Linked DNA regions of Arabidopsis thaliana. The protein of the gene in region 1 interacts with the protein of each later gene in a pairwise test. Each region holds a gene or a part of one and is shown on either strand. Other genes may lie near its edges.

The links.
Region 2: the proteins of ECT8 (region 1) and ABCI18 interact in a two-hybrid assay, tested with the Arabidopsis thaliana proteins (one large-scale study listed by BioGRID).
Region 3: the proteins of ECT8 (region 1) and LARP1a interact in a two-hybrid assay, tested with the Arabidopsis thaliana proteins (one large-scale study listed by BioGRID).
Region 4: the proteins of ECT8 (region 1) and NATA1 interact in a two-hybrid assay, tested with the Arabidopsis thaliana proteins (one large-scale study listed by BioGRID).

Annotation. Positions count from the first base shown.
Region 1 is NC_003070.9:29,813,706-29,819,649, reverse strand, and holds ECT8 (evolutionarily conserved C-terminal region 8), read right to left. Parts: upstream 4,181-5,944; 5' UTR 3,494-4,180; coding exon 3,460-3,493; exon of another isoform or gene 3,135-3,459; intron 3,044-3,134; coding exon 2,973-3,043; intron 2,861-2,972; coding exon 2,743-2,860; intron 2,653-2,742; coding exon 2,582-2,652; intron 2,489-2,581; coding exon 2,132-2,488; intron 2,045-2,131; coding exon 1,562-2,044; intron 1,480-1,561; coding exon 1,267-1,479; intron 1,174-1,266; coding exon 1,030-1,173; intron 935-1,029; coding exon 839-934; 3' UTR 546-838; downstream 1-545. Other genes in the region: NUA (nuclear pore anchor), read left to right, coding at 1-474; AT1G79260 (nitrobindin heme-binding domain protein), read right to left, coding at 5,584-5,703, 5,811-5,879.
Region 2 is NC_003070.9:989,412-993,628, reverse strand, and holds ABCI18 (non-intrinsic ABC protein 4), read right to left. Parts: upstream 2,524-4,217; 5' UTR 2,378-2,523; coding exon 1,883-2,377; intron 1,187-1,882; coding exon 938-1,186; intron 852-937; coding exon 777-851; 3' UTR 503-776; downstream 1-502. Other genes in the region: ABCI19 (P-loop containing nucleoside triphosphate hydrolases superfamily protein), read right to left, coding at 1-151; AT1G03890 (RmlC-like cupins superfamily protein), read right to left, coding at 2,721-3,098, 3,170-3,580, 3,711-3,976, 4,079-4,217.
Region 3 is NC_003076.8:7,198,228-7,206,092, reverse strand, and holds LARP1a (LA RNA-binding protein), read left to right. Parts: upstream 1-1,995; 5' UTR 1,996-2,213; coding exon 2,214-2,465; intron 2,466-2,801; coding exon 2,802-3,261; intron 3,262-3,421; coding exon 3,422-3,581; intron 3,582-3,695; coding exon 3,696-3,786; intron 3,787-3,900; coding exon 3,901-3,972; intron 3,973-4,326; coding exon 4,327-4,509; intron 4,510-4,610; coding exon 4,611-4,786; intron 4,787-4,928; coding exon 4,929-4,998; intron 4,999-5,082; coding exon 5,083-5,187; intron 5,188-5,261; coding exon 5,262-5,569; intron 5,570-5,664; coding exon 5,665-5,808; intron 5,809-5,903; coding exon 5,904-5,967; intron 5,968-6,156; coding exon 6,157-6,302; intron 6,303-6,413; coding exon 6,414-6,518; intron 6,519-6,757; coding exon 6,758-6,892; coding exon of another isoform or gene 6,893-6,902; exon of another isoform or gene 6,903-7,245; coding exon 7,246-7,276; 3' UTR 7,277-7,316; downstream 7,317-7,865. Other genes in the region: AKINBETA1 (5'-AMP-activated protein kinase beta-2 subunit protein), read right to left, coding at 178-375. UniProt on the Arabidopsis thaliana protein: Required for acclimation and survival during thermal stress. Heat-specific cofactor of XRN4 required for its targeting to polysomes and subsequent rapid degradation of seedling transcriptome during the early steps of the heat stress response.
Region 4 is NC_003071.7:16,296,562-16,299,709, forward strand, and holds NATA1 (Acyl-CoA N-acyltransferases (NAT) superfamily protein), read left to right. Parts: upstream 1-1,548; 5' UTR 1,549-1,698; coding exon 1,699-2,385; 3' UTR 2,386-2,644; downstream 2,645-3,148. Other genes in the region: AT2G39040 (Peroxidase superfamily protein), read right to left, coding at 2,902-3,148. UniProt on the Arabidopsis thaliana protein: Acetyltransferase that converts ornithine to N5-acetylornithine, which is likely used in plant defense.

The DNA.
Region 1 (5,944 bases):
GAGGAAGCTGAAACAACCATTGAGACGCCGGTTGAAGATGATAAGACCGACGAAGGAGGTGATGCAGCTGAAGAAGCCGCTGATATACCTAACAATGCTAATGATCAACAAGAAGCACCAGAAACTGACATCAAGCCAGAGACCTCAGCAGCTACAACCTCCCCTGTTTCTACCGCTCCAACAACTTCCTCTACTCTAGCTTCTGCTATTACTTCAAGCGGAGCTCCAGAAACAGAAGATCCAAAAAGAGCACCGTCACCAGGTGGTGGAAGTTCAACTATTGTGACACTAGCTGATAGAGCACAGATGAAAAGACGAGAAAGAATAGCCAATATAGTAGTAAGTCGAGCTCCTAATCCAGCCACCAGAGGAGCTCGTGGTCGAACTGTAAACCTTCGAGGAGGAGGCCGATTGTTGCCTCGTGGTGGTCGAGCCCCACGTGGTGGACGTGGACAATCCCCGAGCCCACCATGATTTTTAGTGGGTATGGTTGAACAATTAGACTTATCCAAGGAGGCTCCTTGAAGAGAGAATTAATAACGGTAGAGAAACTCATTTTATGTCTAAACCTCTTTTCTTTTTGTATCCCGGTTTTCTTATATCACTATAAAATCAAACCTATCATTTTTGCCAATGATTACAAATTGCAAAACATATCATAAACACAACACAAAACCAAAAAAAAAAAGTGAAGAAAAAACCCAACATTACACCATACAACGAAACAATAGAAGAAGAAGCCATCTCGCTTGTAATAAAATCAAAGCAATCCGAAACAATCGGACGGTTTATATTGATCCTTAAAAAACCAAACCAAAAACACTACATGTTCTTCTAGTTAGCTCACTGTCCCGGTTAACTCTGTGTTTCCCTCTTCGACTGTATTAGACATCTCCATTGTTTTAAAATCAGCAACCAAGTCTTCTTCTTTCTTCTGTTATCATAGACATAAGATCATTCTCGTTAGAATACAATACATAGAACAAAAAGAGCATGATTGAGAGATATAAAGAGGAGAATACTAAGGACCTTTAATACCGGAGGGAACCTTAGCTTCTTCTGTACCATAACCTTCTCTCTGTTTTCATAAAAATCAAAATCATCTAAAATAGATGTCTTAGCTGCGTAGTTCTTAAAGATGTTCAACACTTCATTCCCTTGAGGCAACCTCACCTATATATGAAGGACAATGTTTAAACAGTATGAGATGAGATTAGCTCTTGATAATGATTCACTTCCTTAAGCCTATTAAGGAACTAATGTTACCTCTTGTGTGTCTCTGCTATTGGTTACAGGCTTGTTCTCATTGTTCTCTAGTATGATATGTCGTAGTTGCGGATTTGGAACATCTTTGATGATGTGCCACTTCACCGGAAAATAGCCAGTCCACTTATCTTGTTGCCAGAACTCCATGCTTTTCTCATAATCAACTCGTCCAATCATCTCAGCTACACCGCAGAATTGGCCACTTGCATTCACCTGAATCCAATAAAATCGATCAGAGACCATGAAGACGTCGCAAAACTGAATACGTATATAGCGAAAAATCCTAATAGCATACCGAGAAGAACAGGAAAACCGGGCACTTTCCACTTTTGTCTGCAGCCTTCTTCTGAGATTCTTGATATGCACTGTCTAACTTCTTGTTCCCATTGAGAGTACTAGACCAGACATTGTACTTGATGCTCTTGTGTATGTCGTCTTCGCTATACGATTTTATCACAAAAAAGATTGCTTCCTCGTATTTGGTCTGAAAGCTAGGGAGGTTATATTGATCCCTTCTGATCACAGAACCAACACCGTTGCTTCTTTCATTCCCTTCAGCATCCAACGAACATGACTCACATTCTCCATTGGTAATATGATCTTGACCGTTTGCTAAGTCATTCATACTTGTACCATTTTCTTTTGTCCTCGCTTTCGCCTTCTCTGTTTCATCCCGATTTAAAGCTCCAGACTTTTTCTTTACTGGGTCCATCGGGTAAGCAATGCGACCTTTTTCTTGGTTAAGCAGTGGGGGTGGGGCATAGCTGTTCTGTGATGCCTATAGCATCAATACAAAGAAAAAAAGATGAGTCAAACCTCTTCAGGTAATGTGAAAGAGAGAAGAATTAAAGAGTGTAAATGTTACTTTTCGCGGTGTTTTAGGACGATCTCCCATGCCGTGACCCGTGAAGGAGTTCTTGCTCTTTGAATAATAATTGTTGTGGTTATGACTTGAAGAAGATATGTTCTGTTTCAAGGGTGGGGTATATGAAGCAACACCATACACATACCTGTCTCCAACAGGGTCCCATAAATATGTGGGCGATGAAACATCTGCATAACCAAATTGGTTCTGATAATAACCCTGAGCAGCATACATCGGCGAATGAAGTGCTTGACTCGATACACCAACCGGGTTTATAGGCATATAAGTTTGGCTTGCATCATAAGACTGAAACCCTGGCATCAAGTAGATCACAGACCCATTTTCCCCTTGCATTACCTTAAAATCAAGATCAAGAAAATGGTCAGTTAAAAAGATCGAGTCACCCGAGTGAGTAATTCATTCTCTTCATGACAAGGAAGTTTTGATTACCGGGTACTGAACTTCTGTTCCATAACCATAGTATCCATTATCCTTTGCTTCTCCAACTGAACCATCAAGACCTGTAAAAACACGCTAATTCAGATTATGATCATCTAAAAGCAGAATTGAGTACATATTATATAGTATCAGTGTGTAAAAAGAAGCAAAACCTGGATAGTAGTATCCATAGTAGCCACCATAAGGACAAGGCAGGCCTTGATATGTCTCAAGAGTTTCATAATATGATGGCTCTGCCTCTGACTGATTCTTATTCTCTTTTGCAGAAACCTTTAATGTTGCAAAACAAAAGGAACACAAAAACACATAACTGATAAATCATCCTAAGAACCAAAACATATGAATCATCTGTAATAAACAGAGAAGAGAGAATCTTTATTACCATGGAAGTGGTGGAGGCAGTGACCTTAGCAAGAGGATCCACTTTAAGATTCTTCACCATATCTTCAAAGGCTGAAACAAATTAAACAAACGTTCCCGAAGAGATCAGATTCTGAAAAACACAAAGAAACAAGACATATGTATGTATAAAGTAGACACAAACATTACTAGTAATCTTTTTGATGCCTTTATTTTCTTAACTATGTGAAGAGACAGGTTTGAAACGTGAACTGATGTCTGAATATTTAGTCGTACCGATAAAAACTAATAACTAGGCGTGACTTATATATTTATAGTTAATATTGAAAATAAGACATATGAGTCTAATCACAAGAAACAGAGCACTATACACATAGACACACATATATATATTTACAGACACACAAACACAGGATTCAGATAAAAGGTCAAACGCAAAAGTTAAAAAGACGTGTAAGAACAACACAGATTAAACACGTGTGTGTAGGAAAGAAAGAGAGAAAGAGTACATTTACGAGGATGTTTTGGAACATGAGAAGTCATCTACGAAGAGTAGTAAAAGAAATTTATGTGTTTGACTAAGAATAAAAGACGAAAAAATCAAAACACAGATGAAGAAACCAAAACTCGAATCATCTGTTTCGCAGAGGGTTTTAAAAAGTCTCAAGAATTATTAAATTAGAAAGAAAAAAAGCTGTAGAAAATCTGTTTATCAAGAAGAAGACAACATCAGCTAAAGATATGTTTTATTTTTATGTTTGAAAACTAAGTACAGATACGCAACAAAGAAAAACAGAGAGAGGGAGAAGAAATGGTAATGGCTTACGACGAAGAAGAAGAAGAAAGAAGAACAGAGAGTTTTTTTTCTATTTTTTCTTTTGCAATCCTTCTTATTTATTTTCGATGTAAATTAAAAAATAGAGGTTGGGAAGAGGTACAGATGGAGGGAAGAGAATGGTCCACGTCATAAGGATTCTTGATATGAACGAAGATCGACCGTTGGATTAGACGACAAGGCAAAAACTTAAAACATCTTTTCTTGCCAACTTTTCCATCTGGAATCTATTCTTAACACAACTCTCTTGTAAGTGCTTCTTCAAAAAGTGATTTTAAAAAAGAGAATCTTAATTTGGCATTAACTAACACAATTAATTCTATAAAAAAAAATCATAGGAATACATATTCTATGGAAACAAAAAAAATGAAAGTTAGGACCAGTTCTTATGGTCGGGCAAACTATAAAAAGCACAGAAGAATATCATATAAGATAGTTGAAAAATTGGATTTGACTCTGCCTCTCTCTCCATGTATCCTTGAGTCCGAGCAATACCACACAATAAAAATAAAAACTATATTTTCCATTAAAAATGATTTATTATTCGATGAGTTTTACAACTTTTTAAAAAGTTTTCTCAACCATATAAATCATTAATTAATTCTTGTCTAACAAAATTTTAAATATTCTTTGATGAAAAGAGATGAACAATTCCTATACGCTACAGTTGTTGTTGGATTTTATTTTTTAAATGTTATTGAAGATTGTAGATTGAGATCTCATACTACTATTGATATGCTTCCATTATTGCAATCTGAGTTTTCTTTGAAAATTTGTATCATTAGGTGTCAAGTGGCCCATTCATTTGTGTACACTTACATATGCATCTATATTTCTTATGTCCCCCCACCAAAATCCAGATCTAAACTCATATGAAAGTCATCCATAAGTTTTAACTATCCTAGAAAATGATCACTCCTAGAATTTAATTTCTCTCTATTAGATTGGGACTACTAATAAACACACAATCACCTTACATAATTTTCTTCAAAAATGAAAGTGTTGTGTTTTTGCTCCATTTGTATTATATCCAAAGTAGATATTGCTTAGGGATCAAGTTATAATTGTCAACACCACATAAAAAGCCAAATAGGCCAAAAAAAAATAAGAAACACCATATGGAACTATTTAATACAATAAGCCAAAATTATGGAGCTTAAGAGAATTACAAGGTGCCACGTTTTGTCATTGCCGTGGCCTAAACGTGTCTGCTTCACATCTATATGATTTTCTTTCTTTTGTTTTCTTTTCCGTCTTTTATTTTTTTTTTTGTATTAAAATTTCTGTTGTTATATGTGATTACGTATGTCTAATTAAGTTTATAAGATTGCATCTTACAATTATTAAACCAAATCTTATATAATTGTAGAGAATTAATCTTACTTCAATTTGTTGACTTTGCTTCGATAATAACTTCGGTGCTCATCTCATAATTTCTAAAATGTGTATGCAATAGTATAAAAAGAAAATAAATATGGGGACAATCTTGTAATTATTGAAAGCTATTGTAGTCAATTAGAATATCATTAATATTGAGGCGTCAGATGCTAAAATTGAACGTATATAGGCGCCAATGGGCCTATTTACCTCTTTTAATAAAAGCCCATTTAACTCTCAAATTGTCATCTTCTTCTTACTTGTGCTTACAAGAACAAAACATAACAAAACACTTTGGTAACCAAAATCTTACAAAGAGTATCAAATGTTGTTACTAAACAGAGTGATTCTACATATCAAAATCAAAGCATCTCAATATCACATCGGTCGTGTCAGGTTTCGATTTCACAGGAACTTGGATTCAAAGCTTATCGAGTATTGCTTTGAGATGTGGTTGAAGAGGGTTAGTGGTTGTACTCATACGAACCACATACGATAGTTTTCCATCAACCAATTCAAATTCTCTACTTATCTCCTTCACCTGTTGGAGAAAAAAAACCCCATAAATCACCAATTAGAAACACAAAAATGTTGTGTGTAGAGACAGAGACATTGAATAAATAATAACAAAGAGAATTAATCTGAAACCTTTGAAGCGTTTCCCACAAGATCACTTTTGAGTTTGATTGATTGTTCATCTACATTGTATGTTCCTTTCTGTGATCAGAGATTCAGCAAAACATAAGTAATGATTTTGGAAGCTTATGGTAAACACGGATCTA
Region 2 (4,217 bases), about 29 Mb from region 1:
ATCCATTGGCACCAACCAGAAGACAGCGAGAACCAGCTGGAAGATCGAGGTTGAAGTCGAAGAATATTGGATCCTCAACTTCGTATGCGAATTGCATACCGCTAACTCTAATGGCGTCATCGCCACTCGCCGTCGCATCTTTCTCCGCCATTTTTGCCAGTCTCCAAAAGCTCTCAAGCGGTCAGATACAAGGAGTAGGTAACGATTAGTTGGTGGACCGACATTGTTTACTTTGGTCAAATATGCAGTCCTTTAAATATGTTTCGTTCAACGCTAAATCCACGTCATACCAGTACCTTTTCGCCACGTCAGTGATATAACGATTGTATCTCTTTGCACGTCGCCACGTCAGTGTGCTGGTCATCACGCATCGTCAACCAAACGACAGCGTATAAGGGAGTACAAAATGTTTTTTTTTTTTTTTTTGTAATATTTTCTTGTACATTTATTTGCTTAGTCATGCAATAGCAAACAGATTTAGCATTTTAGTTTTACGTAGAAGCAAAAGTTGAAATTATGAAAAAGCCTTTTTGTATATATTAATATCTCAGTGATACAAATGATAATCGATAATGTAACAACGATGATTATAAGGAAGAAAAATAATTAAAACAGGGAGTGTGGGAGGATTACAAAGAAACACACATCAACTTACCATTAACATACATCAAAAAGACTGTTGGCTGACCACCATTGTTGTCTATTGTCTCGTGCTCTCAAGTCACAAGAAGATGAAGCCGGACTTGTCCAATAACTTAAATTTTACACTCCATTCATCAGAAAGCTGCCCAACCTGATGCAGCTCCTGTTGACTTGCTCGATCCTGATCCCGCCGTTGAAGGAAGATTTTTCTGCCGAGTATTACCAAATCAAGGATAATTTAGAGTAACCTTAGAGAATAAGAATAAATGTAATTAAGAAGACAAGGTTTATTTACCTTGAGCTGAGATAGATCAGATAGAGGCTCGTTCCTGCGTGATTCCTTGCAGCCATCAGATGCAATCCTTGAAGCGACGGGATCGTTTGGAGGAGGAGGTAAAGGAGACCTGGTTACTCCGGCAGCTTTGGGGGGTGGGGCAAGTGCTAGAGGTTTTGGCTTCCCCGTTCCTGAAAGAGCAGCTGAGAGCATCCCAGTGCCATTTGTTGTTGGTTTCGGCTTCACGTTGATTCTTATGGTTTCACCTTCCTTAAAACCCATCAAAACAACAATCTTTTCAGGTTCTACCAAGTCCAAATGCCAAGAATTTTCCTTTTCCGGATAAATGATGGAGTTCAATCAGAATTGAAATATTGATTCTACAGTTACGGTTCCCAGAGAAAGATATTGAGTAAACAAAATCAAATGAGTATGTTCTGCAACTACGAGTGGATGCTAAAACAAAACTTGTGATTATGAACCATCTGTGAAGACTAAAAGAGCAAAATCAAGACATATAGCAGCATCAATTTAAGATTAGAGATGATGAACACAACACAAGATCGAGAAAAATTAAGGCTGGTACTATTTACTCATCCTAATATCTACACAGAGCATACAAACTACAAAGATCTTCCACCAAATAACACTACAAATAAAGGAAATTAGAAAATCCAAATAACGAATAGCTAATCAATCTCAGCAGATAATGCATCCAAAATATTCTCATCACTGATACAAACACCAAGACCAAGCAACTTTTAGCTATAGCCTACTAGCAAGATAAGAACTTTGCAATGAGAATGATACTACAAAACGTATCTGAATCAATCAATTCCACATTGGATTCGATAGTTGTTTTTCCAAAATAGATCTGAAAGCTTCAATCAGATTTCTCCAAATTATCAGATTCCGCATTGATCCTATCTTAATTCCAAAAGCTAGCTTATGAACAGATCAGTTTACCTTCAATCTGTGATTAACGGCAGGATGGATATCAATATGATTATCGCTCTCACTCGTTTCCCCTGTCTCCTTCTCTTTCTCCCTCCTAACGTACTTTTCATGATCCGATAACGCAACATTGAAATCAAACGCTTCGTTCCTCTCAGCGAATCCTAGCCCGATAAACGCATACTTCCCTCTCCCGTCATCGATCCTGAGAACGAAATACCTAGACGAATCGAGAGACGGCTCTACAGAGTTCTCTCTACGTCCAGGATCCACAAAACAAGCTGCGAAAAGATCACCGGAATTCGAATCCTCGAGGCGGATCTCGCATCGATCCTTGCACGATACGACGCGGAGTCTACCAGACCAGATCTTATCGGATTGAAGCCATTCGCCGCACTTGTATCCGCCGGATGTGGTTCGCGGCGGGATCTTGTAAACGGAGACCTCACGCACCACGAGAAGTGTATGCTCGAATGTTTCCTCCTCTTCTTCTTCCTCGAACGACATCGAATCTCAGAGCCTCTCTCAGACGAGTTTCGGAGAAAGACGTGTGTGATCGTTGCGGACTTTTGAAAGCTTTACGAGACCGTAACCTTCTTCTTCTTTTTTTTATTAGTGTTATCATTATCCTTTCAATGATTTTAATTTAATATATACACTAATCAACGTAATCAAATTTAACAAAATAAAATCAACGTAATCATAAAAGCTAAGATGTGTATGTTAGTAGGAATTTTTAATCTGAAATTTTGTTATTGAAGCTTTGTGAAAAGTTGGTTATTAGTCTCATCTTTATTTATTTCAGTGACTGGAAAATCTAAAAAAACATTAAAGGAAGCAATTAAAGAGCTTAAGAAGAAGAGCTTGGTGTCATAGACAACATGGTCTCTTGCTGACTAAACTTGATCCTCTTGGCTTCTTCCTCGTTCACTCCATATGACGCTTTGATCACATCCACTGGAACTGCTCTCAAGTACGATGTTTGGCCGCTCAGTGTGTTAATGTAAGCGTTATCGTTTGTCTTGAATGATATCCACTCGAAACCCGTTTCACCAGCCGTTTTTGAAACTGCAAAGCCTTGTGGAATCACAATGATTTGGCCTTGTCCCACTTGCTCATTGAACACCGACTGACCATTGTCGTCCACCACTTGTATCTTGGCTTGACCTCCTGTGACGTATAGCACCGTGTGCGCGTTTGCCGTCCATTGTGGCAACACCATTCCTCCCTATCTCCACGAGAATTCATTATATAGCACATAAAGAATTTGTAAATCTAATTTAAAAGTGGGATACTTACGCTGTAGAGATAACCTCTAAGGGCGTTAAGTCTGACTAGACGTAGAACAGGGAGATTAAGGCTGTTAAGAGTGCTGATTCTTCCGGCTCGTGTGCTAAAATGGTCAGACCGTTCTGGATCATCGATATTCTCATGAATCTTAGCCGTGCAATAAGTCTCTTCGATGCCATTAGCAATGCCATCTTGCTGCCATTCACGAGGCGGTGGGATGACGAAATGGAGAGGACCATTTGCTCGGATTATGTTTCCTCTGTTGTCCTTCTGGTTTTGTAGTTGCTTAGCTGTCTCGATGTTGATTTTGAATGCTTCCGCGATTATGTTTGGGTCGAAACCGCTGAAAGCGTTGTTGCCTGATGGCCACGTTAATGGTTGTTCTTCTTCTTGCGTTCTGCTCCCGGCTAGTTGGAACATCTACATATGAAGGGTTCACAAAAAAATGACATTATGTGTTATATATATGAATCACTATTTTAATCACTGAGTGGTAGTCATATAGTTTGCATGCAGTACAAATTTGGACTTTCTTGAATTTGATGATTACCCTAGGGACTTGGTCAAGCTGGTTTTCTCTGTTGGTGACATCAAGAACAATGACAATGACGGCATCGGAATCACCGCGGTTGTACCACCACTGTGAAACTCCGGCAAGCGAAGCAAACACATCCCCTCGCCGGAAATTCTCCAACTTCTGGTGCATGTCCTCAAAACGTCGACCCGGGTCTCCTCCTCCTCCTCTTCCTGATGATCCTTCAACTTCTGCAAAAGTCTCAGGACAACCAGAAGCAATCGTCCCCATAACTCCTTCTCCTGAAAACAATTAAAATAAAAGACCACTTTTTTTAGATTTTCTATAGGTTGCGAGTTTTTAATTAGGTCTTGATCAAAAAGCGTATTTATTTATTTTCTTACCTTGGACAACGTAAGCAAGGGCAGGTGGGCTAAAGAAAGCGGGCAAGAAAATGGAATTGGGCTGAAGGGTGATGCGAGCCACCGTTACACCGGCGCATCGGAGCTCAGGGCTCATGTGGTCCCATACTTCCATCTGACC
Region 3 (7,865 bases), on another chromosome or scaffold:
CTCACAATTAGTGAAACAAATGAAAAGTCAAGTGAACGAACATTCTCTTACTCAACGAAACAAATCAAAAAGATTCTCTTACTATTATCTCTTTGGGCGAATGTTTCAATCGATTCAATTCAAAACCAGAAATCAAATTCAACGATTAAACAGAGAGAGATATTCGAGAGAGGGAACCTGAGGAGCGAATAAGAAAGGAGATGGAGATCGAGCAGGACTTCCGGGAGGAGAACTGCTCATAGAGTCTGAAGAAGGACGACGGTGACGACTGCGTGCAGAAGGATCGCCGCCATTAGATCTCGCCGAGGACGAGGTAACATCTGCACCACCGCTACCGGCGGCGGCGTCTTCGTCTTTGCCGTTCGCATTTCCCATCTGAAAAAGCCCAAATCACAGAAGCGAGAGAGACAAAGAGAGGAGAGAGATAGAGGAAAAGAGAGAGAAAACCAGACGTGAAGAAAAATGGAGGGAGGACGACGAGGAGGAGATAATGAAACGCCCCTCAAGTTAGAAGTTAATTACGAATAATGCCATTGGTAGCGAAAAAGAGATTTTGCATAAAAGGGGCTCTTGAGAGAGAGATATCATTAAAATCCGTACCAAATGGATAAACGAGTGACTTGGCGTCCAAAAGTTTATAATTATCCACTTTTTTTTTGTTTATTTCTTTTAGTATATAATAAACAAATGTGAATAAAAAGTTGGTTCAATGCCTTTGAGAAGGATAATGACACAAGGGCCAGTCACCTCCTTGCCACCGATTTGTGTGCCTTAACATCTTGCTAGAGCCAGTGATCATAGTATGCGTATCGTGACGATGAAAAGGCCTTAAACTCCAATAGGTGGGGTTAGAATAGAGATGGTCAAAGAATCATCATTTTCCAAGATTTGTATTGGTTAGTCCCGTAAACTAGTTATTGGTCGAAAGATTGTTTCGAAAAGTTTGGAGGGTTTCAAAGCCAATGTAAACTTGTAAAAGGCGATGGTCACTATTCACTAAGCCATGAGTGATTGTCATGCACTTTCCTTATAGGTTGAGTCATTGTTTTTTCTTTTGCTTTCTCGCATTGTATATTGGTCACTTTCAAATTGTAAGATTTCAGCTTTTGCTTTATCATTTACTTTGAACTAAGGTTTTGATTCAACCTCATATTTTCTTCAAACGAGTGTACTATCATTGGAAAAACTTGATTTCAATCACTTCAATTTTCATCAATATATTGACCTTTTGTTTAGAAATCTTATCTAGTGGACACTAAATCTTCCACAGACACCTTCAAATGTCATTTTCAGAGACAAAAATTCATTCAAATCTTCATCAATTACTTTATTCTTCGTAGGTTCACATATTGAAGAATTAAGATAATAGCCTCACCCAAAAAAAAAATTAAGATAATAGTTTTCACCTCAGAAATCATCGTTAATATCCATCATATATATAAAAATTATTATATGTATATTAACAATTCAGATAATTTTTCACGTATTTTTAAAAGACTAAATATTATAATTAAATAACTTAAACGAATTAAACAATAAAACAATAAAGAGATTATAAGAGCGATAACTAGTTATCTTCGTTCTCTTTTACCAACTACTAATCCTTAGTTGTAACAAAAGTTTGTTAGATCACATTAAAAGTACAAAATAACTTAGAATTGCTACACAAATTCTAACACATCTATTTAAGGACATAAACTAAGGTTAATAAATAAACGCGTTATAAATAGGTCTAACGAAAATAAGTTTATAAAGTTAATTTAAATTTTTTTAAAACCCTACATAAATGATGTTTTCTCAAAACAAAAATTAAAAAGAAATAAATTGAATGTTTTTAATTACGAAGGATAAAGACCAGATTAGAGGATATTTGTAATACTAGTAATTAAACAAATCATGAATATTATTCTTATTTTTTGTCAAATTTCAAATAGGAAAAATAGGAAATTGCTATATAAAATAAACATATACATATAAAAAAAGAGGAAAGTAACTAGGGTTTTTGGGGTTATACGTTTCACTGTTTGTTTCATCCTCGCTTATTCCTCCCTTAAAGAGTGTCGCCACCAAAACACACACACACACTTGCCTCCTTCTTCAACCTCTCTTCCTCACATTGCGTCTTCTCCATCTGATCCTTCAATCCTCGTTCTGTTTTTGATCCAATTGAATCGCTTCCTTGTTTTGATTCTGTTTATCTTTCCAAGTTTCTAATGATGGCGGAGACTGAAGGATCAGTGGCCGATGATCGAGAATTGATCACCCGTGAAGGTGGTATTGGGACTAAGTCTCCGTGGAAAACAACGACTTCTCCTGTTGAGACTATTGACGCTCCTGTAATGGGAGCTCATTCGTGGCCTGCACTCGCCGACGCTGCCCAACAACCGCGTCCTAAGAATCCTCCGGCGCCTGCACCTGCTCCGCCGTCTAAAAACATTCCGACGTCTATCCCAATCCCTACTCCGGTTAGTCAAACAACCGACTTCTTTCCGTTGATTTGTCAATGTTGTTTGATTATGCTTTAATTGAGTATTAATTTTCCGATTGTAATGGTGCGTGGTACTTGGTAGAGCTGAGAGTTATCTGATACTGGATATCAGTTGTGTTCGTGATTGGTTTAAGTTGGTGATATTGAATCTTTGATCGAATTTGATGCATGATGATTATGACGTTTATTTATTTGTCGTGATTTTCTTTTACTTGGCTTGAAAGGTTTATAGTGTGATTGGAAAGTCTTTTGTTTAGCATTGAATTTGTAGCCTTAGCTTTGCTCATAAAAGCTCTTTTGTTTTGTTGTTTAGGCCGTAACTGGTCAAGCGAAATCTAAGGGTGGTGGAAAGGCTAATCCTGGACACAAGAATCCATCTGGCCGTCATTCAAAACCAGGTCCGAGGAGCAACCAGAATGGTCCTCCTCCTCCTCCTTATCTCGTGCATGCTGTACCGTATCATCCACCTCCTTTTCCACCTATGGTGCCTCTGCCACATGCTGCTGGTCCAGATTTTCCATATGCACCTTATCCTCCCTACCCGGTTCCTGTGCCTCCTGTTACTGAGTCTGGCAATGAGAAGCAAGTTCAAGCTTCCCCTCTTCCACCTGTGTTGCCAGCTCCTCAAGGGGATCCTGGAAAGCCTTGGCCGCATCAGAGGGGTTTTGACCCCAGAAACATGCCACAAGGTGCTGGACCAAGAAATTTCGGGAGACCTCCATTTATGGGTCCAGCTCCTGGGTTCCTGGTTGGTCCAGGTCCAGGCTTTCCTGGTAAGATATTGATTCTTTGTCAATGTGTTTAAAGGGACTGGCTGAGAGTAGTTGATAAAAATTTAATTCTGTTGCTCTTGAATATATTTAGCATTAGGATAAAGGATAACTGTCGGTTTTTGATGCATGAGTGCTGTTTTTGTTTCTTCATTTGACACAGGGCCTGTATACTACTTGCCGGGTCCACCCCCTGGAGCTATAAGAGGTCCTTATCCTCCACGCTTTGCTCCATACCCTGTAAACCAGGGTCCTCCAATACTATCTCCAGAAAAACTCGACTTAAGGGATAGAGTCTTAAAACAAGTAGAGTATTATTTCAGGCAAGTTATGCTTCTCTACATCAATTTTTTTGTGATTATAATTATGTTCAGCTTATCCTTTATTGTGGCTCTTGAAATTTCATATTACCTTCCGTTTATTTATTCCCTTTTCAGTGATGAAAACCTTGAGAATGATCATTACCTCATTTCTTTGATGGATGAAGAAGGATGGGTTCCCACAAAAATTATAGCTGGCTTCAAAAGGGTAAAATTAGTAACATGAGCTTGACTTGCTTTCTTTTTCATTAATCTATTCTGTCATCTGTGTTTTTACACAAGTGTGTTGTTTTTTAAGTTTTCTTTTACTCTTGAATTGCAGGTTAAAGCAATGACTATGGATGTTGATTTTATAGTCTATGCGTTGGGGTTTTCTAATTCTGTTGAAGTGCAGGTCAGACCACCTTCCTTCTTTTCTGGTTTAAATGCTAAACTCTTGCTTTTGTGAATGGGGTTTTACTAATTCTTGGGTTCAGATTAGCTTTTGTATTAAAAAATTGTTTCCTTGAACACTATGTTTTCTTCGGTTGTATTGTGTATTTCTATTGTGGTGAGGCTATCACCAAAAGAATGGGTTAGAACTTTGTCTCTGAATAATAGTTTAAAGAAGCCTCTTTGATTATTCTAACTTAACTTAGAGCATGCTTGGTTTCCACAGGTGTAAGGCCTACTTGTTTTTTAAAACAGTATAAAATGCTGGTACTTCTTATCTGTTGGATCCTAATTTGAAATGCTGGTACTTTTACAGGGTGACCAGATACGCAAGCGTGACAAGTGGTCTGACTGGATTCCTGCATCTAAAAAGTCAACCTCTGCGGAGACAATTGGAGACGGTGACAAAGATTCCCCAAAAAGTATAACAAGCGGGGATAATTTTGGAAACCCTTCAAAGGGTTCTTCAAAGCCTACCGTGTCCGATTTCTCTTCAGAGGTAAAAAAAAATTTCTTTTGGTAGAGAAATTCTGTAAGACTGCCAAGCCAATGAAATTTTAGTTTTTGCTCCAGTCATAGTTTTTCCGTTGTGTGGTACAGGGAGCTCAGTCATCAAGAACCAATAATTATAAAAGTGGTAACCTGAAATCATCAGCAGACGAAAAAAGAAATGTGGAGGACTTGTCAAACGATTTTTCAAACACTTTCTTGCTTGACGAGGAACTAGATCTGGAGCACAGAAGCCCGAGAAAGAGTGGACTGTCCATGTCCAAAAGGTAGTGCGTGCACCACTTAATTAGTCCTGCTATTTGCTTTCTGTCCTTTTGTTTCCAATATGCCTTCTTTTTTTTATATGAATCTTAAACTGCATATATAAAGTACTGCAGTTGATGCTTAGGTTTATTTGACATTTTGTAGCATTGAGTATGAAGACGATGATATGGCTGTTGATGATCAAGATATTCAGAAACTTGTAATTGTTACCCAGGTATTACACAGAACTTTTTATATATTTCCTTGAACTCTATGTTTGGTGAAATCAATTATTCATGTTCCGTTATATGCTGGACAGAATAGTGGTAAAAGTGATGGCGCTGGAATCGGTGGGACGGAAGCAAAAAATATTCCTAAGGAGCTTGCCTCCACAATCAACGATGGTCTTTACTACTTTGAGCAGGTAAGGAATATTTTCCTATCATAATATGATTTACCTCTTTGGAGTCCAATTTCTAATCTTTACCTATGAAACAGGAGCTTAAAAAAAAACGATCTGGCCGTAGGAAGAACAACTCCCATTTGGATACCAAAGATGGGAAAATCAAATCTGGGGAAGGATTGAACACTAAGTTGGGCGAAAATTCCGCAGCAAATGATGGAGGGGAAGAGCATGGAATCATTACTTCACGGAGGAAGCAAAATAAGGGAACGCACAAACATCATACAGCCCATGCACGGAGGTTCTTCTCGAGTAACATAAGGAACAATGGAAATATATCAGAAAGTCCGCCTAGTAGCTCCATTGGATTTTTCTTTGGTTCTACACCACCAGACAGTCATGGGTCAGTATCTTAGCAATCCTTTATATTCCCAACTTTTTCTTATTTTTTTGTTTATCACTTGTCCTTAATATTCTGTTTTTATTGTATTTTAACAGCCCTAGGCTTTCGAAATTGAGTTCATCTCCACAATGTACACTTTCTGGAAGCAGTCCACCTGTGGGCTCTTTGCCAAAATCATTTCCACCTTTTCAACATCCGAGCCACCAACTGTTGGAAGAGAATGGGTTTAAACAAGAAAAGTGAGTCTATGGTTATTGTATGGAGCATTATTTTTTGGAGGATAAGATCGTATCTTGAAGGTCTCTGTTCTTATTCCTTTTAAATCTACCTATAGGTACTTGAAGTATCGCAAGCGCTGCTTAAACGAAAGAAAGAAGCTAGGTAGCGGATGCAGTGAGGTCAGTTTCATGTTAACCTCCTTTCGATGATTTCTCATCATGTATAACAAAAGAAACCCGCAATAGCTGTTACATGCTCAACTCATCTGTTTTTACATATAAATTACTCAACTCATACTTTAATCTAGTTAGAGATCAGAAACCCTAGTTTCTGGAATTGTATCTGAATTCTGGCTGTTCTTTTTGCAGGAAATGAACCATTTGTACCGATTTTGGTCGTATTTCCTCAGAGACACATTTGTTCTCTCTATGTATGATGACTTTCAGAAGTTTGCTCTTGAGGATGCAGCTGGCAATTACGATTATGGGCTGGAGTGTCTCTTTAGGTTTTATAGGTAATGCATACGTCTTAGATTTGCTTATATGTTCCATCTTTTTCACTGCGGATAAGCTCTCAGTGTAAAAAAATCTAATCCAACTAATATTGGTCTGCCTTGCTTCTTAAGTTATGGTCTGGAGAAGCACTTTGATGAGGACCTTTACAAGGACTTTGAGAAGCTATCGCTTGACTTCTACCACAAGGGAAATCTGTATGGCTTGGAGAAATATTGGTAAGGGCTCTATTATTATGATAATGGTTAAACAATATTGTTGCTACTGAATTCCTGTTATGGAACTGTGATTTTCGTTAATGTCTCTAGAGAACTTACATAAAAAAAAAGGGCTTGTAGTAATAATCTAGGTTAAAAGATGTTCACATAGCCTCAATGCTCTCCTTTTGATAATAGAAAAAGTTTGTTTGTTTGGTTGGTTGTGTTGAATAGGACCTAATCATCTCTCTCTTGTGTAGGGCATTCCACCATTATCGAGGCAAAGAAGAACCGATAACAAAGCACCCTGAGCTAGAGAAACTACTGAAGGAAGAATTCCGTAGCATAGACGATTTCCGAGCAAAGGAAACAATCACCAACCAAAAAGAAAACAAGTCTCACTGATGAGGATGTGAAGTGAAGAAGAAGCAGAGATATGTGTTGATGCCGCAGAGCAAATGATCCTTAAATCTTGACCTAAAGTTTTGTGTATCTCTTTCTTCTGGGGGAAGTGACCAACCAAGTGAAGCAATCACTCTGAATTTTAAAGGATAATTTCCTTGGTGGTATTTTTCTTTTGTGGGATTATTTTTGTGGATTTTGGATGGATGCAGGATGATCTCTGCAATACAAACAAGAGCTTTGACTGAAGAGGCGTTCATCTACACAAGAGTTTCGCCCTCTCCCTAAAAGTTGTAATCTTTTTCTTTTTTGTATATATTTCATTTTCTAATTTACTCAATTTTAGAAGAAAAAAAAACAAAAAAAAAATGATGTGATTTGTAGTATCTGTAGAAACAATAAGAGATGTTTTATTTGACAATTTTATATAGATAGTACATTTTCTTGTTTGTAAATTTTTGTCTTCTTGCATCTTATATATTTGGCCTACGCAGAATATTTTTTCAAAGAGTTCTTATTTACACAAATATTCCTGATTCTTTCTTTTAGATATTGATAACTCTGATGATTGCCGACAAAAAAAAAAAAGTCTGATGATTACCATGAATTTGCTTAACACTCACGAAAAGAGCGAAATTTGGGTTTTACGGTTTTACCAATATTCCTGAAGGGTTACTTAACTAACACACCCTGAAGGTTATAAGTACCTAAAGTTGCAAATTTTCTGGGCAAAATGTTTTCTTTTAAACCTAGCAGATGTTGTAGTTCATCGATATGTTCCAAATCTAACTATATGATGCAAATCACACTGCCTATATGTAATTCAGCCACAACATCAGATCGACGTTAAAAAAAGAAGAGAACTCAATGCCTTAAAATACCAAATCTGATTAAGCATAATAAAGTATCAACCAACAGCGCCCACAAAAACCGACAGAATATAAAGAGTATCTCCTCAATGTTAAA
Region 4 (3,148 bases), on another chromosome or scaffold:
ATAAAAACTAAGTTTTAGTAGTCTCTGACTCTCTGTCTTGTTGTATAGAGAATTAAGAAACCGTGAGCATGAAACAAAAATTCATCTATTTTTATTACTACAACAAAACATTCCGCTTTTGTGTTAACATAGAGAACAAAAGACCCCATTTTACGAAAATGATTCTACTCTTATAAATGGGCTTAAGTGGGTTGTAAAATTTGTAGAAGAATGCACAAACACTTCAACATCTCTAGTTGTCCTACTGGCTTTAAAGAACATCTCTTTGATTGAGATTAATTCACTTGCAATTTATCGGTAAAACTTTAAAACTGAACCAAAAGTAAAAAAGAGTGAGACTAGTTTTTTGTTTGTTAAACATGAAACTGGACATAAAACTGGACAGATACATTCTACTAATATCATGCATTCCGTTAAGTATTTTGAACAAAAAATCTCATCTTTGGAAGAGTATATTATGAAAAATATTTGGATTTACACTCAAAATCATATTCATTTATTAACAATTAAAACTATAAAAAGACATAAGCTAAAGAATTAAAGTAGTAAAAAATTGATAGTTTTATTTCCTTTCCTTTATTATCAACAACATTGAAGTTATCGTCGTGATTACAGAATCCAAAATTGGAAAGAAATGGCAGGATACATATTTGATTTTTGTTGTCGACAAATTTGGACTAAGAGACGTAACAAATCTTGCCAGCTACATGTAGAACGCACCTGTTAATACTGTAAACAATGTCGGCTAACTATTTTGTGCTAACGACAATAAATATCAAAGTAGTACGTGTAGCGTCTAGCTTCTTCTATGAGATAAAACGACGATGGGAGTGTCATTATTTTTCACTCATTTCTTGTATTTTTCTTTGGAACCAAAATGTCTTTTTCCATGATTTAACGACATGTGCTTCACGTTTCTTCATATGTCTTTTTACCGACTTCAACAAATGGTGATGGTATTTATCGAAATTCATCAATTTCTTCCTAAATTAAATTGGTAAAAATACCAATTGTCGAACTCACTCACGAAGATTGGACTGTAAACGGTATAGATGACCGTATTTGCTTCGTGGTATGGTCGTGCGTTGTCTCAAATCGCAAAAGAGCCAAATTATGTTTAAAAAATTCAATGCCATATTAGAAACCTTAATCTTCTCTAATGAATTTGTACGACGTAATATAGAATGAGAGGTTCAAATTATTAAGAAGGAAGTTTAAAAGACTTAGAACCGTTTGCAAAGTTTTGGGAGAGATGATCGGTGACCTATACAATGAGATAATAGAGATTGAGGGATTGAAAATTGAGGGACGCAACCATTACACTGATACGTTGAGTTGATATGGTGATAATTGTTTTTATGTTCAAAAACTTACATAAGTAGATAATGTGGAGTCTCTTTGATTTCTTAACCTGAACGAAAAACCAAAAAGGAGAAGAGAGTGATCACCTAATTTAACGTGTAAAACATGACATTTTCCAAGAAGAGGGATCGATCTAAAAGTCAAAAAAAGGATGAGATAGCGTTTTAGTTTATCATATGTGGCATAGTTAGATTGGCTTGTAAAATAATTTCTAATCCTAAACATGATAGATAGCAGCCTTAGAAGCAAGTAACATCAAATTTTTATAGTATATATATATGGATTCTCGAAACCCTAATCTTCACATCACTATCTTCAAAAACAAGTAACAGAAAAATGGCGCCTCCAACCGCAGCACCAGAGCCAAACACTGTGCCAGAGACTTCACCGACCGGCCACCGTATGTTTTCCCGGATCCGCCTCGCTACGCCGACCGATGTCCCTTTCATTCACAAGCTAATCCACCAGATGGCGGTTTTTGAGCGCCTCACGCATCTCTTTGTCGCCACCGAGTCTGGTCTTGCCTCCACGCTCTTCAACTCCCGTCCGTTCCAAGCCGTCACCGTCTTCCTCTTGGAAATCTCCCCTTCCCCATTTCCCACCACTCATGACGCTTCGTCCCCTGATTTCACCCCCTTTCTTGAGACGCATAAGGTTGATCTCCCTATCGAGGATCCGGACAGAGAAAAGTTCTTGCCGGATAAGCTCAACGACGTGGTGGTGGCTGGATTCGTTCTGTTCTTCCCGAACTACCCAAGTTTTCTAGCGAAACAGGGTTTCTACATCGAGGATATCTTCATGAGAGAACCTTACAGACGAAAAGGCTTCGGAAAACTGCTACTGACCGCTGTGGCAAAGCAAGCAGTGAAGTTGGGTGTCGGAAGAGTGGAGTGGATTGTGATCGATTGGAATGTGAATGCTATCAACTTCTATGAGCAGATGGGTGCGCAGGTTTTTAAGGAATGGAGACTTTGTAGGCTCACTGGCGATGCACTTCAAGCTATTGACAAGCTAAACATCTAGCAGCATGATGATTTGCATGAGACCCATCGAGCGATCGGTCCTTTAAAGTTTGTTTCTCACTTGTTTTTAATTTGTTGAATAAAACATCTCAAGTTTAAGATAAAGATGTATTTGTGATTATGGTTACAAAAGTATCTTCTGTGTTTTCGGATTTGAATAAAATGGAGATTTCTTCAAACTATTTATAAGCCATGTTTAAAAGAAGTTTTCAAGGTGTATTTAATGTGAATAAATAAAATTTTTAAATTATTGACCTCAATTTATATAGAGACTGCACTGTTTTTTTTTTAACCGGACAGCGTTCTACTTACACATGCTAAAGTACGGGCCTTGTCAAAAAGACATAGAAGTGGTAATTAAACAGATAAATTGGAAACATACAATTCCACTTAAATATATATATGGATCATTAAAATCTTAGTATTGTAATAAAATTAAGAAAAACATATCTCAAATGATGATTACATGATAATCAAATTTATACGGTATTAAGATAAAAAAAAAAGTGAAAATTTATCAGTTGACGAGGCGACAATTTTTACGAATCTCACCACCTTGATCTCCAAGAGTAAGGACTTTGATGGAACTCATCTTTATCATGGACCGACCAAACTGAGCAAGAAAAGCGCCGGAGTTTTGGAAAACACTAGCAATGTGAGCGGCGGAGGGATCAGTCAACAAGGCGGCGTCGGAGGTGAAGAGTCCTTTGTTCTTGAGTAGAGAGACGAAGTAGCCACTGTCAAAGGCGAGAGGACCAGTAGGG